Saccharomyces cerevisiae S288C: one gene and its partners. Changing the gene in region 2 together with the main gene of any one other region gives a genetic interaction. Each region holds a gene or a part of one and is shown on either strand. Other genes may lie near its edges.

Region 1 (4,726 bases), on a different chromosome or scaffold from region 2:
AAAAGATAAATTGAAGACGGTCGTGGCTCTTGAATAACATGTCTTTATGATGTGCATTTTCTGGCTGGGAATGTTGATGCACTTTTTATCAACGATTTTGTCTCCTTTGTGATAGATACTAAGAAAGCACAAGATAATCAACCCAGTAAGCGACAGAAGGGTCGACCTATAAAAATTAGCTCATCATTTCTCGGTAAGGTCGGGTTCACAAATTTTAAATCTCGTAAAATTTTGCAATGACTGAAGCACTCAATACAATTTAAAAGGATAAAGCAGTGGCAAAGATTGTTTATCAGAGATGTACGATCTGGTTATCCAGATATTTGAGATACTACCACCATAATATTAACTTTGTCGATTAACAATTTTTTTTGGAAACTCTGCCTTTTTTTTTACTACATCAAATCATGCTATCAAGCGTTTGAGAAAACTTAAGTTACTCCATGTAATGAGCAGGTCTAATGTAACAGTAAAACGAATAATGAATCAAATATTTGTATGAAAATTAATACACCCTCAAAGAAAGATTAAACCTGAAAGCCTAAAAAGTTTAATATTGAGATTGATAACTTTGTCATCAAAAAGCATCTGCAACTAACAAGTAACTATTCGGCAAGTACTAAACAGAGAAAATTCAATTTATCACAAGCTATCCACTTAAATTATGAGTTGCTTGTCATGTAGTGGCTTGTAAGAGCTATTGCATTGTTCTTCGTGCCATAACCGCAAGCGATTGACGATTCGTAGACCATTGAATACAGTGAATTTTTTAGGGCCTGTATTTGTCGTTATAACAACTGCTATTAAATTTTTCCCTAATGAGGTAAGTAGAAATTGACTTATTCTTACTTGCTTCCAAAAAAAGTACTCTCTAGTTATAGAGAGTAACAAGCATGTGAACTTGTTGTTCTTTTTCGATAATAAGGTTGTCGACGGTTGCCTCATCACAAAATAGACACATTTGATGTTGAACTACATAAATATTCAAACTTCAGGCCTTGAAACATCATAAAGTAGCTTTCCGGATCACTAGCTCATTATCAAAATGGAAAGATACTGAAATTGAAGACAAGAAAAGCATAGGTTTATTGTCCCTTGGTTATCTGGACCTTAATGGCTTTTACCTCAGAATATTTTCAAAAATAGCTTAACCTGGAAGTTTTATGAGTCTTTCAAGTTCTTAGCGTTTCGTACCTGGGTAATATTATGGTTACTACCAAGCCTTTACTGGATAATGTCCAGCAAGTGGGTTTACTCATTTATGATTTCTCTTTTTGTCCTCTTTTTCGAGCCAATATTTTTACCTGTCATTCATGTATTTTTCTCATAAGCTTTCGAAACAACTCCCTGTATTTACAAAGAAATTACTAAAAAAACATCAGATACGGGCACCAATGATCGGAAAGTTGTTTCAACAAACCTAATTTTGTACTTGTATACAAATATAGTCTGGGATAGTAGGTACTTTATCAATGCAACAGATTGTCAATAAGCGTCCAAAACAATTCTTCTTCAACCATTCTCTTTGAAAAAAGACGAAACTGCTAAGTTTAAGTCATTTCAGGATTTTGCCCCTTGCATAAAAGAGGCATTTGAAGTTTCTTTGAAAAAAGATGTATGATGCTGGGGAGGTATGGAAACCCGTTGACATGGGAGATTCTAAATTTTTTAAGGAAGCTCTTCAATGAAGGTTTACTTTGGTTCTCAAGAGAATTTTCACTGTTTACTGTTTCCCTCCATGCTTTCCTTTTTGATCTAAAGCTACTGTCATGCAATTATCAACCCCTATTTCGTATCTTATATCTTGAAAGCTTCTTTATGAAGAAAATAATAATTTTTTAACATCCAAGAATTTTATCTACGAGAATGGGACACAAATACAATTCTTATCAATCATTATAAATGAGCAAGAAAAATTTGGCAGTCTAGGAATGAAATCGGAAGGGAAATGAACGGCTACTTTTTCGGGAAGATTGTTTGGAAAACGAAGAGTTGTTCTTTGATGAATGCGATTTCCAAGCGTTCTTTGTGCGGAACTTTAATAACCTTTTAAGAATCCAAGGATTAAGAAAAATCCCACTTAGAAAGAAGAGTAGCCGAACGTTCTTACTCTCATATCCCTACTTAGGTTCAGTTAGCCGTACATATCAAACTACAATAATACTGCCCTGCTAAATTAGCGGTACCCTCTTTTAAATATGTATCTGTTTGATATCAACTTGTCTCATTACCATCCGCTTCTCAGCGGCTAAAATTACGTAATTGCACCAAGGCATTTGCCGAGAGTTCACAAGTTTACAGACCCTAACAGTATACGACTCCCAACACACGTTTAATGTTGTACGAATTCAAGAGATGGAAATATTTCCTCCGCGGAAGCCGTTTAAAGCAGACTGAATTCAGGCTTAGACAATAAGCTTCTGTACGAGGGTCCAAATCTAAAATTCGGATATTCTTTTTGACCGAAAAAGGAAATGTCACAGGCACAGAAAAGGGTTTTATAAGGCACCTCGGCACCCCTATAATTGGCATTCCCACATTCTGCGCATACGAATACACATAAGCGCCATAAAACAGTACTCCACATACGAAACCTATGAAAGATTTATGATTCGTTCAGAAACAAGAGCATCTCCATAGAGATAATGAGATTGTGTGAAAGATGAGATATAGAGAATATTTGATGAGGAACTGGTGCCAGTCAGCGATCGTTTAAATAGCAACAACCCATGAGGGAATGGGTATAAATAGAGCTGCTTCAACTATATGCCTTTGAGAATATGTCTTTATTCTTTCCTTTCCTGTTAAGCTTATATCAGCACTAACAAACAAAACAAATACAATGGTCAAATTAACTTCAATCGCCGCTGGTGTCGCTGCCATCGCTGCTACTGCTTCTGCAACCACCACTCTAGCTCAATCTGACGAAAGAGTCAACTTGGTGGAATTGGGTGTCTACGTCTCTGATATCAGAGCTCACTTAGCCCAATACTACATGTTCCAAGCCGCCCACCCAACTGAAACCTACCCAGTCGAAGTTGCTGAAGCCGTTTTCAACTACGGTGACTTCACCACCATGTTGACCGGTATTGCTCCAGACCAAGTGACCAGAATGATCACCGGTGTTCCATGGTACTCCAGCAGATTAAAGCCAGCCATCTCCAGTGCTCTATCCAAGGACGGTATCTACACTATCGCAAACTAGAGACAAACGCCAATTTTACGAACGGGTTTCCATAGAAATTGAAAATTAACGAACAAAATAAAATAAAAAAACTACTTTTTTTTGATGATATAAATACCGTAGATTATATAAATGTATATTAATATTATAGACCTATTTGATCAATGACGGTGTTCGTGAAGCATTTTATGAATACGATGAACATAAGAAAGAAACTTCTACACTATTGTAGAAAAAACGTGGACGGTAATAAAGCTAACAGTGTATGTCCAATAAACAACAATGAAATTGGAAATGTGCGGCTTCGCAACCTTTGTCCTTAAATAAAAATGAGTCGCTGCTTCGTTTTTCATTTTTTGGCGCGTCGCGTCGGGCCGTATAGAATATGCGTCACTTCTAAGAACAAGATTGCAGATCAGGGCAGTGCGAGTTACAAGTCATGGTACCAAACTCTCATTTAGAGACCCTCATTTTTTGACACGTAAAATATCAAGATTTCTGGGTTGGCATAGTTTTTTGTGTAACTGTAACTAGAAATAAAGCTGAGGGGTTAGTGTTCTATCAGCAATAAGATAGAGGGTGGTAAGATGAAGTGAGACAATATCGTAACGTCCGTTTTAGTATACGCCGCTGATAAGTTATATTACCGTAAAATTATTTGACATTTCGTTATAGATCCTATTAAATAACGTACCTATCACAGTATCGTCTTGACTAGATATAGTCCCTTCGTATGAGTAGTGTCACATACAAGATTAAAGATGCATCAGTTATGCTTTTAGGATATTGCGGTTAGCATATGGGAATGGAAATAAGATATAATTGTATCATAGCACCCGCATGAGTTTGAGCCACTACCGTATTATTGCTCGGTGAATAAAGAGTGTTACGACAGTGATGTGACATATTATTCTAATGTATGGCCTGTGTAAGTACGAAATATTCTGAAATAGCATCCGTTCAAGCAAATTGCAATATTGAGGAACTTTTACGTTAGTGATACCATGATAGTGTTGCTACCACAAGCCAATATGTTTATGTATTATTGTTGAAAAGTAGAATATTTTTATGTTTAGGTGATTTTTGTGGGGATTTTTCTGTAATATTGACATAAGTGTATATAAATGGAGTGGTAAGTATATGGTGCAAAAGTGGTATAACGTATGTATTAAGGGCAGTTATACAATATTTGGGACCGCCGAATGAGATATAGATATCAAAATGTGGATAATGATGGGCGTTATGGGTAAATGGCACAGGGTATAGACCGCTGAGGCAAGTGCCGTGCATAATGATGTGAGTGCATTTGGTACTGATTCAGTGAGAGATGGGCCATGGAGTGAAGTGGAATCTGAGAGTAGGGTAAGTTTGAGATGGTATATACTGTAGCATCCGTGTGCGTACGTAAAATCAGTATACAAGTGAGGGTGAGTATGGCATGTGGTGGTGGTATAAAGTGGTAGGGTAAGCACGTGTGTGTTATTTACGATCATTTGTTAGCGTTTCAATATGGTGGGTAGAAGAACAGTATGGTGAGTAGGT
Region 2 (5,576 bases):
GTTTGTTAATTCATTATACTGATAATATTTTTGAATTTTTTTTTTTTTTGATACATTTTTTTTAATCGCTGTTTTGTCTGTTTTTTTCGATTCAGTTATAGGGAAAAAAACGGGAAAGGAAAGAGAAAAAAAAATTAGTGCAGAGCAATAAGAAGCGAAAATCAAAAAAAAGTTTTGGATCTGCAAGACTTGCTGTCACGCAACAATATTATAGCCACCCAGCAAAAATGTCAGACATCGAAGAAGGTACGCCTACTAATAATGGGCAACAGAAGGAGAGAAGAAAGATAGAAATTAAGTTCATCGAGAATAAAACAAGGCGCCATGTGACATTTTCCAAAAGGAAGCACGGTATCATGAAAAAGGCGTTTGAGCTTTCTGTTCTAACGGGGACCCAGGTCCTGTTGCTAGTCGTTTCAGAAACAGGTTTGGTATATACTTTCAGCACGCCGAAGTTTGAACCTATAGTCACGCAGCAGGAAGGTAGAAACCTGATCCAGGCCTGTCTTAACGCCCCTGATGATGAGGAAGAAGACGAGGAGGAAGACGGTGATGATGATGATGATGATGACGATGATGGTAATGATATGCAACGCCAGCAACCACAACAACAGCAACCGCAACAACAGCAACAAGTATTGAATGCACACGCAAATAGCTTAGGCCATCTAAATCAAGATCAGGTACCGGCAGGCGCGCTGAAACAAGAGGTGAAGTCACAATTGCTAGGCGGTGCCAATCCTAATCAAAACTCAATGATTCAACAGCAGCAACATCACACGCAGAATTCACAACCACAACAGCAACAGCAACAACAACCACAGCAGCAAATGTCACAGCAACAAATGTCACAGCATCCTCGACCACAGCAAGGAATACCACATCCGCAACAATCGCAGCCACAGCAACAGCAACAACAACAACAACAACTGCAACAGCAGCAACAGCAGCAACAACAACAACCCCTCACCGGCATTCATCAGCCTCACCAACAGGCTTTTGCCAACGCTGCCTCCCCCTATCTGAATGCTGAACAGAATGCTGCCTACCAACAATACTTTCAAGAACCGCAACAAGGCCAATACTAATCTTATCGATTTCCGTATATAATTCATAGACGAGCATTAAGAGGAAAAAGCTGTTTCCGTACCAATTAAAGAAAGATAGACAACAAGAACAAAAACGTACATTACTCTATATTGAAAAAAGCCCTATGTCGGTAAAAGAATAGGAAGTACCTTAGTCATCGGCACTTACCTTTTTTTTTACGATTACTTCTGGTTTGTTTCTTTGCCTCATTTCATTTTGCTGCCACTTTCTTTCATAGGCAAGAAGATTCAATCAAATCTCCCCTTCTCCTTCCCCGGATATATAAAATATAAATATAAAACTTTAAGAATATAAAAATATGAGAAACCACACATAACTTGTATACTTTACTCACATACACACATTTCCAAAAAAATTATAATGTTAATTACATTGCTTTTAATGCTAATCTTTTTTTAGTTGTATAATCATTACCATATAAATGCCTCTCGGTCTAATTTCATTGCCAGTATTGTAAGTTATATACTTTTATACGAGTGTACGGAAAATATCGTGGCTCCCCGTTAACAGTGAAATAAATCTACGCATGTAGCTGCCAGTTTTTTAAGCGTTATATCAATATTGGTAAAGTAAGAATTGACGAAGAAATTGTTAACTACATTTTTCAGAACGGCGTGTCATTCTCCGATAATGTCTGAAGCGATATTCCAGCCAACGGACATTGTCCTTGCCAAAGTTAAAGGCTTTTCAGCATGGCCAGCAATGATTATCCCTAATGAACTCATCCCAGATAACATCCTCAAGACCAAACCTGTGAGTGTCCACAAAGGCAAATCAGGTAGTGATAAAAAAGCAAATGAAGATATAGATGCAGACATGGAATCAGAGGCTAGAGATCGAGAGCAAAGCGAAGAAGAAGAAGATATAGAGGATTTTGGTGAGAGTGAGGCTAATCCTGAAAAATTTATAATATACACTCCCGTTCTGAAGTTTCGTAAAAATGATACGTTGAAATCGACTTACTGCGTCAAGTTTTTTTGCGATGATTCTTATATCTGGGTGAAGCCCATGGATATGAAGATTCTAACAAGCGAAGATTGTCGTAAGTGGCTAAGCGGCAAACAGCGGAAGAATAAGAAACTCATACCGGCATATGAAATGGCTATGAGAGGCAAAAATGGAATTGATATTTGGGAATTTGTGGAATATGGGTCTTACGGCAAGCCAGATGAAGAGGAATATGTAGAGGAAGAGGAAGAAGAGAACGAACCTGAAAAAAAGGCTATAAGGCCAACCAGGTCTTCCAGTAGACAGCGTCAGAAGCGCGCCTCAGAAACGGAAAAGAGTGAGGGCGGTAATAGCAATAAAAGGAAAAGAGTTACTAGATCGACTAGGCAACAAGCGATAGATGCTTCAGAAGAGGAAGAGGAGGAAGAGGAGGAAAAAGTACAAGAGGCTGTTAGAAAGAGGCCGCAAAGGACCAAAACTAAGAAAGTTGTAGTATCCAAGACTAAACCAAATCCAAAAACAAAGGCAAAGAAAGAGAAACCTAAACCACCTAAGCCAATCAAATATCATTTTGAAGATGATGAAGATTGGAGCATTGTTGGGTTGGGCCCACAAGATCTATCAATCGAAAAAACGATGGATCCGATTGCGAAAAAACTGTCGCAGAAGAAAAATCTAGAAAAGCATGTGGAGATTAAGCTAGATCTGGAGGATAAACTAGCAGGTATCAACAAGCTCCTGTGTGATGTCTTATGTTCAGCCATTAACCAGGCTGTTTCGATAAAGGATGATTTCGAAATAATATTAGATGAATTGCAGATTGCCCTTGACACCAGGGGGTCCAGAAACGAATTTATAACAATTTTCCAATCAAATAATTCCCTACTGTTAAACTTTAGGATATTATTTAACTTAAGAAAAAGGGAACTGAACAAATGGGATCTGTGGGATCGTTTCCAGGATATTTTCAAGCATATTTATTCCTACCAGTTCATACCTGATACGGAAGATTGGCAACTAGAGCAAAATATGGAAATTGAAGAAATGGATCGGGAAAAGCCGAGCTTTAGTGAAGACGTAAAGGAAGAAGAAAGCAAAGTAGGAGCATGACCTGTTGCTATTGCAGTTGATGTACTCTGCTTTTGAACAATAGAGGGGAAACCTGTGTACTATAAAATAGACTAAAACTATGTAACTTGTGTATGTTCTGATATGTATGACGCAGTCTTTGATAGTCCAAAACTCACCTAGACTGTGCTGTATTATTACAATTAAAGTTCTAAGTCTGTTGTGCATTATCATTTGAGAAATGGGGGAATGTTGAGATAATTGTTGGGATTCCATTGTTGATAAAGGCTATAATATTAGGTATACAGAATATACTAGAAGTTCTCCTCAAGGATATAGGAATCCTCAAAATGGAATCTATATTTCTACATACTAATATTACGATTATTCCTCATTCCGTTTTATATGTTTCATTATCCTATTACATTATCAATCCTTGCACTTCAGCTTCCTCTAACTTCGATGACAGCTTCTCATAACTTATGTCATCATCTTAACACCGTATATGATAATATATTGATAATATAACTATTAGTTGATAGACGATAGTGGATTTTTATTCCAACATACCACCCATAATGTAATAGATCTAATGAATCCATTTGTTTGTTAATAGTTTGAATGTTTTTATCGGAAGAGGTTTGGTCATTACGTCTGCAATATTCTTTTTGGTTTCGATATAGCATACGTGCAGATGATTTCCTGATACTTCATCTCTCAGTCTCATTGCTTTAGTACCAAAAAATCTGTTTCTAAATTTCTCTTCATTATTGGATATAATTATACTGATTGTAGATTTACTGTCGGTTAGTAATCCTTTGGTAATTGGTTTCTTGTCGAGTTCTTGTATCAGGTAACTTAGATTATTTAATAATGGGACAGATTCACTTATTGCGTGTATTTCTGCTTCCGTAGTTGAAGTACATGTTAATGAAGCCTTGGTGGACTTTCCTCCAATTACTTTTCCATTAAGTAAATATATGTTGCCAATTTGTGATTTATAATACGGTTGGTTACCATACGATGCATCGCTTATAACAACTAATTTATTTGTTGGCTTAACAGGTTTGCTTTTGTGCCATATTAATTGCTTATCTCTCGTATTCCATATGAACTGTATCAATTCATATGTCATATCTAACACTTGCTTGGACGGAAATAGTATATGTTGTGCAAGTGTGTTGATGTAGTATAATAGGTCAAATCTAAATTTATATCCAACATATGATGCTAGACCTATCAGCTTTTGCATTTCATGTACCTTCATTTTGTAATCATCTTCTTCTAGCTCTAGTTCTTGCTGGTCTATATATAGACCTGGTTGACCTGGAGCGCTAAGTTTCCTTCCTTTTGGGTTCAAAGGTACGTTTAGTTTGGGTATTTTTTCAGTTAATGAGTTTTCCATACCCAATTTCATGTATTTACCTCTTTGGTATTTGATTTCCAAGCCAAGAATGTCATATTGAATTTCCTCATCACTTTCGCCTAGATTTATAATCTTGGTGTCGTATTGCATCTTAAGCTTGTCTATAATTCTTTTGTTTGAATTTAGATTTTTGCTAAACAGTACCATATCATCTACGAATAAACAAATTGTCACTTGACTGTTTTCAAATACGCATGACCATCCACGAACTTCTTCCATACCACACTGTTTTATCAGGTATGATTTGATAGTTTCGTACCAGTTCGCTCCACTTTGTTTCAATCCATAAAGTGATTTCTTCAAACGTATCAACTTATCATTCATTCCTAAATGTGGTGGAGGTCTTATGTATAATTCTTCTTTGATGTCTGCATACAAATATGCCGAAGATATGTCTAATTGTGTAATATAGTAGTTATTGTCTAATGCAAGTGACAGGGATGTCATTAATGCATAGTGATGTACGGTATTGGATTGCATGCCTGAGTCGTAAGTGTCAGGATGCTGAATATCACCTCTTGCAACAAATCTAGCTTTATGAGTACCGTCACGTTTCCTGTTGAAGATAAACATTGAATTTATTACTCTTTTAGGGTCTATTTCTTTTCTGTCATAATATTTGTCAGTGTCCCAAGTTTTCATCTTCAACAGTTGATTGACTTCTTTGTGGTATGCCTCGATATATTTTTCTTTTTCTTTAATATCTTTATTATAGGTGATTGCCTCATCGTATCGTAAGGTTGTTCGTATTGGTTTGATTGATTTTACTGCTTTTACAGCTGCAATCAGGTGGATTCGTTTCTTCGATCTCGGAGGTTCTAAACTACGCATATTCTTAGTATTCCATGTGTCTCGTGATACCTTAATTTCAGTTTCATTATCTTCTAATGATCTTTTCTTACTGTTGATAGTAGTATAGGCATTAGAGTCACCAATACCACCCAAACTGGAATTAGTTTGACGAGAATTGATCGGTGGAAGTTCTTTAAAGGAGTCTGATAATTCGGTAGGAGGTTCTGGAGGC
Region 3 (6,762 bases), on a different chromosome or scaffold from region 2:
AAGCCACTCTTTTCCTTTTCCTGTTGTAAAGAAAACCTATAAGATTCCAAAGATAGCCAGGCTCATCTTCCAAAAAAGAGTTTGAAGGTGAATATTGAAAAAGGACGCAATCAGAAAGAGTCATGTGAGAATTAATTACCTCCCAGACCCATTCCTCTGGTTGTCTACCAAGAGAATATAAGGTGTTTTCAAATTTGGAAATAAAAGTTTTCAATGATGTTTTGACAAAATCCGTTGGCTCAACCGATGAAAAATCATGGTCAGGATAAGAAGCGTTGAGGATAGCAATCAGATAAGCAAATATTTTGCGGCTTGACGGTTCGTTTATGGGACCAAACGGACCCAAACTTAAATTGCTTGGCCTTTCGTTTATCGAAGATTTTCTTCTTTTGTTAACATTGTTGGTTGCTGTACCAGAACTGTAATTATTGTTCGATGATTTACCACTTTTGAAACTGCTAATACTGCTACTGCTCCTTCTTCTTATCCTCTCATCATTCTTAGAAGAAGAATCAAGAGACGATGAGCTCATAGAGCCAGAATCGTAATTCGAGACTAATTCTTTTAAATTTTGGTCATTTAGCTTGGCACTTTTGGGAAAAGTTGCTGGAGAAGAACCATTAGGTCCAGAATAGTTATTGTTATTACTGCTATTGCCATTACTGTTGTTAGTGTTATTATTGCTATTGTATTCACTAAAAGATATTCTTCTCTTTTGCTCCCAAAAAGAGTTGCTATCCCTCCTATTAGAATAAAATGGCGACGAGCAGGGTGATTGGTTTGTTTCGGGAGCAGCTAGCTGTTGCTGAAGGGTAGCATTGTAATTCTCATTTTCCTGTAAAATAGTATCCAAATGCTGATCAATAGTTTTATATAATTTTCTATCTGATGCAACCGCCTTTGTTGTGAAAATATCGCAACTGCCCACGATTTTACAGTCATTTGTCTCGAAATTGAGAGTTTGATTCACTCTCTCTATATCTAGCTCATCAATAAACTAAGGAAGAAAAGGAGGGTTCAGGTACAATGTTAGTAATTTCGAATAAAGAGCATGGCAGTTTTAGAGTGATAACATACTTTCATTGTCGTGATTCTTTAGGCAAAAAAATCCGTTTGGAGTAATGAGCGGTTAAACTTGTTCTTGGTGAAGTGTGCAGAGTTTCTAAACTTTAAGTAAATGACACTAAGCCTATATTTTTCGCATTGCTAAAGAAACACTGATACATAATGTGTCTACATTTTATATAGCTGATAGCACGTTCTTTTTAAGTTGAATTATCTTTTTTTTCTCTTGTTAAATAAGATGGACAACGCGCTTTCGCTGGCGAGATGAAGCGCCCCTGATTGACAAGCAACTCGTGGAGGCAAGTAATTAGCGACGCTTTACTTTGTCTGATAGCAGTAAATATGTGACTGCATTTAAGAAGTGAAATTATAAGAAATGTACGCTTTAAAAATGATATATGAAGTTACATAAAGAAATGGTAAAAAAATTTTTTTTTCCTCCATTACCGATAATAGTTATATTCCTTTTTTATTAACTTTATCTCCTAACATTTCGATATAATGAGGACCGAATACGGACCAATGAAGGTTGATTAATGCATATAAGTGGCGATAAACATTCTCGAATTCCTCCAGCTCTGTTGCTGCGAATAAACCTCTGGATGCAATCGCATTGCCAGTAGGTGTGGTGGTGGAGGTTTTAGAAGGAGACATCAAAGACGGGCTGATTTTAACGCTAGCAGTATCTGTAGTAGTACTCAAAGTGTTAGTGCTACCTACGTTGCCATTGTTTGTGTTGTAGAGGTACACAAAGTCTTGTTTAACGCGTCCATCAATTGTGCACTCGGACCTGTTGAAGATAGCGTCCTCTAGTGATTTGAATACTCTATTTTCTAGGACACCATAAACTTCACTGAGGGGTTGAGTTTGCTTAGATAACCAAGATTTAGCAAAGGTTATTTTTGAGTTGTCTAATGAAGGCAATTGAGGCCTTCTGGCTTGTTCACAACTACCATTGTTGTCGTACTCCCTGTGAAGATCGTCAATAACTTTGCAAAGATGAACAGCAATAGACATTGTGTTTTTAGTCCACCTACAATTGCCGTGTTCATCTGTTATAATGCTGATAATTTCATTCTTCAGCCTTTTAGTTGAGTATGTATGAATAACATATTCCTTTGTAGCTTTATCCATTGAAGGATCGTTGGCCACCAATTGTTGGAAAAGTAAACGGCAAACTAAAATACAAACAATTTGACGTATATCGGCACGCAAAAGGATCAATCTTGCATGATCAAAAGAAAGCGGAGTTGGGTACTCTCTCACCATCTTCCTACATGACAATAGGTTAATTATACTTCTAATGCAAATATTGTAGACATCAGGGATAGTGATAGAACTTGGATTTCTAACAAGGCCAGCGGTAACATTTTCGTTGAATTTTTTATCAAACCAAAGTAGGGAAGTATTTAAATTCACCCTTTTAGAGGCTATAAGAGTGTTGAAATACTGTTTCTCAAATTCTACAGCATTACTTAACAGAGCTGGCCTTAGTATTCTTATTTGATGATTGGCAATATCCAATTTCATTGTTTCCAAAATTTGAAAAACCAACCTTAAACCTTCTATTAACCTTGTTAAAGAAGAGTCTCTTTCAGCTTCTTTAAATTTGTTGCTCATTTTATCCACCCATGGGTCCCTCATGGGGGCACAATGATGTTTAAATAAATCAGCCAACCAGCCTGACAAGTTAGACATTATCAGAGAACCTTTCAATAGTTCTTGAATGTTCAATTCTGTGTCCAGTACATTATTTATCATCGGAGACTCTTTTTGTGGGACTATCGTTAACAATACATCCCTTAAAGTGTCAAAAAGTGGGACTAGTCTTGACCTGTTATATTGGAATATTTCAGGCCTCTTAGAGTAAACATAAATTTCATTTTGAACATCATTCCAATAGATATTCGCCAATTGTCTTTTTTTATTCCCTCTTTCGCCATCAAGATTTGGCCTGAATTGTAGTAGCGGGTCGAATATTATATCATGTCTTAGTTGTGGGTTTTTCAGAATTTCCTGTAAGTCAATCTCTTTTAAGCCCTGCAAATTTATAGGAGGAAATGGAACAGGCGTTGGAGTAGCCTTTATGTAGTTTATTCTATCTTCCAAAGTTAAGTCAAAGTTTGAGCTTGATAGGAAGCTTTGATTTGTCATTGAAGTGGCAGTGGAATTATTAATGTTGTCATTATTAGCGTTAGTGCTTGCGTTACCTGATATTTGTTGATTTAAAAAAATTGCGCGCTTTAATGAAAGAGGGTTTGAACTGAGAGGATTATTAGAATGCAAATATGGTTGATGATGGTTTCTAGAAAATTTTTTCTTTGATATGCCGGAAGGAGTTGGATGATTTAAAAGAATATTTTGATTACGATAGTATTGATTGTGGGATGATAATTTTCTTAAAGAAGAATGCAAAATAGTGGGTACGGAATGCGACCTCATTTTTTTATTTGAAAAGATCCTTAAAAAGTTAGAAGCATTTCCTGGTGGCTGTTGTTGTGCTGCTTGTTCTTTGTGTGGTTCCGTTGCTGGTGGCAATTGCGGCGCGGATGCAGACGGTGGTTGCTTTGACGACGGTGGTGGGGAGGGAGATGGATTGTTGATATTAGTATAAATATTCTTTGGGGGTATCGAATCAACTTTATTGTTCCTCCTTATTTCTTCTTCATTATCATCGTTTTTCAAGAATTGACCAGTCTTGGTGTCGAACGTCTTGAATATAGTATTGTCCCTGTCTATAGGGATCTTCAAATCACTACTATTAGCTGAATTGCCACTGCTATCGTTGTTAGTGGCGTTAGTGCTTGCATTCAAAGACATGGAGGGCGTTATTACGCCGGAGCTCCTCGACAGCAGATCTGATGACTGGTCAATATATTTTTGCATTGAGGCTCTGTTTGGAATTATATTTTGAGATGACCCATCTAATGTACTGGTATCACCAGATTTCATGTCGTTTTTTAAAGCGGCTGCTTGAGTCTTAGCAATAGCGTCACCATCTGGTGAATCCTTTGAAGGAACCACTGACGAAGGTTTGGACAGTGACGAAGAGGATCTTTCCTGCTTTGAATTAGTCGCGCTGGGAGCAGATGACGAGTTGGTGGAGCTGGGGGCAGGATTGCTGGCCGTCGTGGGTCCTGAATGGGTCCTTGGCTGGTCCATCTCTATTCTGAAAACGGAAGAGGAGTAGGGAATATTACTGGCTGAAAATAAGTCTTGAATGAACGTATACGCGTATATTTCTACCAATCTCTCAACACTGAGTAATGGTAGTTATAAGAAAGAGACCGAGTTAGGGACAGTTAGAGGCGGTGGAGATATTCCTTATGGCATGTCTGGCGATGATAAAACTTTTCAAACGGCAGCCCCGATCTAAAAGAGCTGACAGGGAAATGGTCAGAAAAAGAAACGTGCACCCGCCCGTCTGGACGCGCCGCTCACCCGCACGGCAGAGACCAATCAGTAAAAATCAACGGTTAACGACATTACTATATATATAATATAGGAAGCATTTAATAGAACAGCATCGTAATATATGTGTACTTTGCAGTTATGACGCCAGATGGCAGTAGTGGAAGATATTCTTTATTGAAAAATAGCTTGTCACCTTACGTACAATCTTGATCCGGAGCTTTTCTTTTTTTGCCGATTAAGAATTCGGTCGAAAAAAGAAAAGGAGAGGGCCAAGAGGGAGGGCATTGGTGACTATTGAGCACGTGAGTATACGTGATTAAGCACACAAAGGCAGCTTGGAGTATGTCTGTTATTAATTTCACAGGTAGTTCTGGTCCATTGGTGAAAGTTTGCGGCTTGCAGAGCACAGAGGCCGCAGAATGTGCTCTAGATTCCGATGCTGACTTGCTGGGTATTATATGTGTGCCCAATAGAAAGAGAACAATTGACCCGGTTATTGCAAGGAAAATTTCAAGTCTTGTAAAAGCATATAAAAATAGTTCAGGCACTCCGAAATACTTGGTTGGCGTGTTTCGTAATCAACCTAAGGAGGATGTTTTGGCTCTGGTCAATGATTACGGCATTGATATCGTCCAACTGCATGGAGATGAGTCGTGGCAAGAATACCAAGAGTTCCTCGGTTTGCCAGTTATTAAAAGACTCGTATTTCCAAAAGACTGCAACATACTACTCAGTGCAGCTTCACAGAAACCTCATTCGTTTATTCCCTTGTTTGATTCAGAAGCAGGTGGGACAGGTGAACTTTTGGATTGGAACTCGATTTCTGACTGGGTTGGAAGGCAAGAGAGCCCCGAAAGCTTACATTTTATGTTAGCTGGTGGACTGACGCCAGAAAATGTTGGTGATGCGCTTAGATTAAATGGCGTTATTGGTGTTGATGTAAGCGGAGGTGTGGAGACAAATGGTGTAAAAGACTCTAACAAAATAGCAAATTTCGTCAAAAATGCTAAGAAATAGGTTATTACTGAGTAGTATTTATTTAAGTATTGTTTGTGCACTTGCCTGCAGGCCTTTTGAAAAGCAAGCATAAAAGATCTAAACATAAAATCTGTAAAATAACAAGATGTAAAGATAATGCTAAATCATTTGGCTTTTTGATTGATTGTACAGGAAAATATACATCGCAGGGGGTTGACTTTTACCATTTCACCGCAATGGAATCAAACTTGTTGAAGAGAATGTTCACAGGCGCATACGCTACAATGACCCGATTCTTGCTAGCCTTTTCTCGGTCTTGCAAACAACCGCCGGCAGCTTAGTATATAAATACACATGTACATACCTCTCTCCGTATCCTCGTAATCATTTTCTTGTATTTATCGTCTTTTCGCTGTAAAAACTTTATCACACTTATCTCAAATACACTTATTAACCGCTTTTACTATTATCTTCTACGCTGACAGTAATATCAAACAGTGACACATATTAAACACAGTGGTTTCTTTGCATAAACACCATCAGCCTCAAGTCGTCAAGTAAAGATTTCGTGTTCATGCAGATAGATAACAATCTATATGTTGATAATTAGCGTTGCCTCATCAATGCGAGATCCGTTTAACCGGACCCTAGTGCACTTACCCCACGTTCGGTCCACTGTGTGCCGAACATGCTCCTTCACTATTTTAACATGTGGAATTCTTGAAAGAATGAAATCGCCATGCCAAGCCATCACACGGTCTTTTATGCAATTGATTGACCGCCTGCAACACATAGGCAGTAAAATTTTTACTGAAACGTATATAATCATCATAAGCGACAAGTGAGGCAACACCTTTGTTACCACATTGACAACCCCAGGTATTCATACTTCCTATTAGCGGAATCAGGAGTGCAAAAAGAGAAAATAAAAGTAAAAAGGTAGGGCAACACATAGTATGAATACAAACGTTCCAATATTCAGTTCTCCGGTCAGAGATTTACCAAGGTCTTTCGAACAAAAACATTTAGCGGTTGTAGATGCATTTTTCCAAACATACCATGTCAAACCTGATTTTATCGCTAGGTCTCCTGGCAGAGTAAATCTGATTGGTGAGCATATAGATTATTGCGATTTTTCAGTTTTGCCATTAGCCATTGATGTGGATATGCTTTGCGCAGTTAAAATTTTAGACGAAAAAAATCCATCCATTACCTTAACAAATGCGGACCCTAAATTTGCTCAGCGAAAGTTTGATCTGCCTTTAGATGGTTCCTACATGGCCATAGATCCGTCTGTGTCGGAAT

The links. Genes that interact genetically often act in the same process or in processes that back each other up.
Region 1: mutations in IOC4 (region 2) and PAU8 together harm fitness more than expected from each alone (negative genetic interaction), as found in Saccharomyces cerevisiae (2 studies listed by BioGRID).
Region 3: mutations in IOC4 (region 2) and SOK1 together harm fitness more than expected from each alone (negative genetic interaction), as found in Saccharomyces cerevisiae (2 studies listed by BioGRID).

The regions. Positions count from the first base shown.
Region 1 is NC_001133.9:286-5,011, reverse strand, and holds PAU8 (seripauperin PAU8), read left to right. Parts: upstream 1-2,842; coding exon 2,843-3,205; downstream 3,206-4,726. Other genes in the region: YAL067W-A (uncharacterized protein), read right to left, coding at 2,305-2,532.
Region 2 is NC_001145.3:353,644-359,219, forward strand, and holds IOC4 (Ioc4p), read left to right. Parts: upstream 1-1,740; coding exon 1,741-3,168; downstream 3,169-5,576. Other genes in the region: transcription factor MCM1, read left to right, coding at 228-1,088. UniProt on the Saccharomyces cerevisiae protein: Functions as a component of the ISW1B complex, which acts in remodeling the chromatin by catalyzing an ATP-dependent alteration in the structure of nucleosomal DNA.
Region 3 is NC_001136.10:457,021-463,782, forward strand, and holds SOK1 (Sok1p), read right to left. Parts: upstream 4,228-6,762; coding exon 1,522-4,227; downstream 1-1,521. Other genes in the region: RNA polymerase III-inhibiting protein MAF1, read right to left, coding at 1-997, 1,078-1,083; phosphoribosylanthranilate isomerase TRP1, read left to right, coding at 4,822-5,496; transcriptional regulator GAL3, read left to right, coding at 6,414-6,762. UniProt on the Saccharomyces cerevisiae protein: High copy suppressor of a cyclic AMP-dependent protein kinase mutant.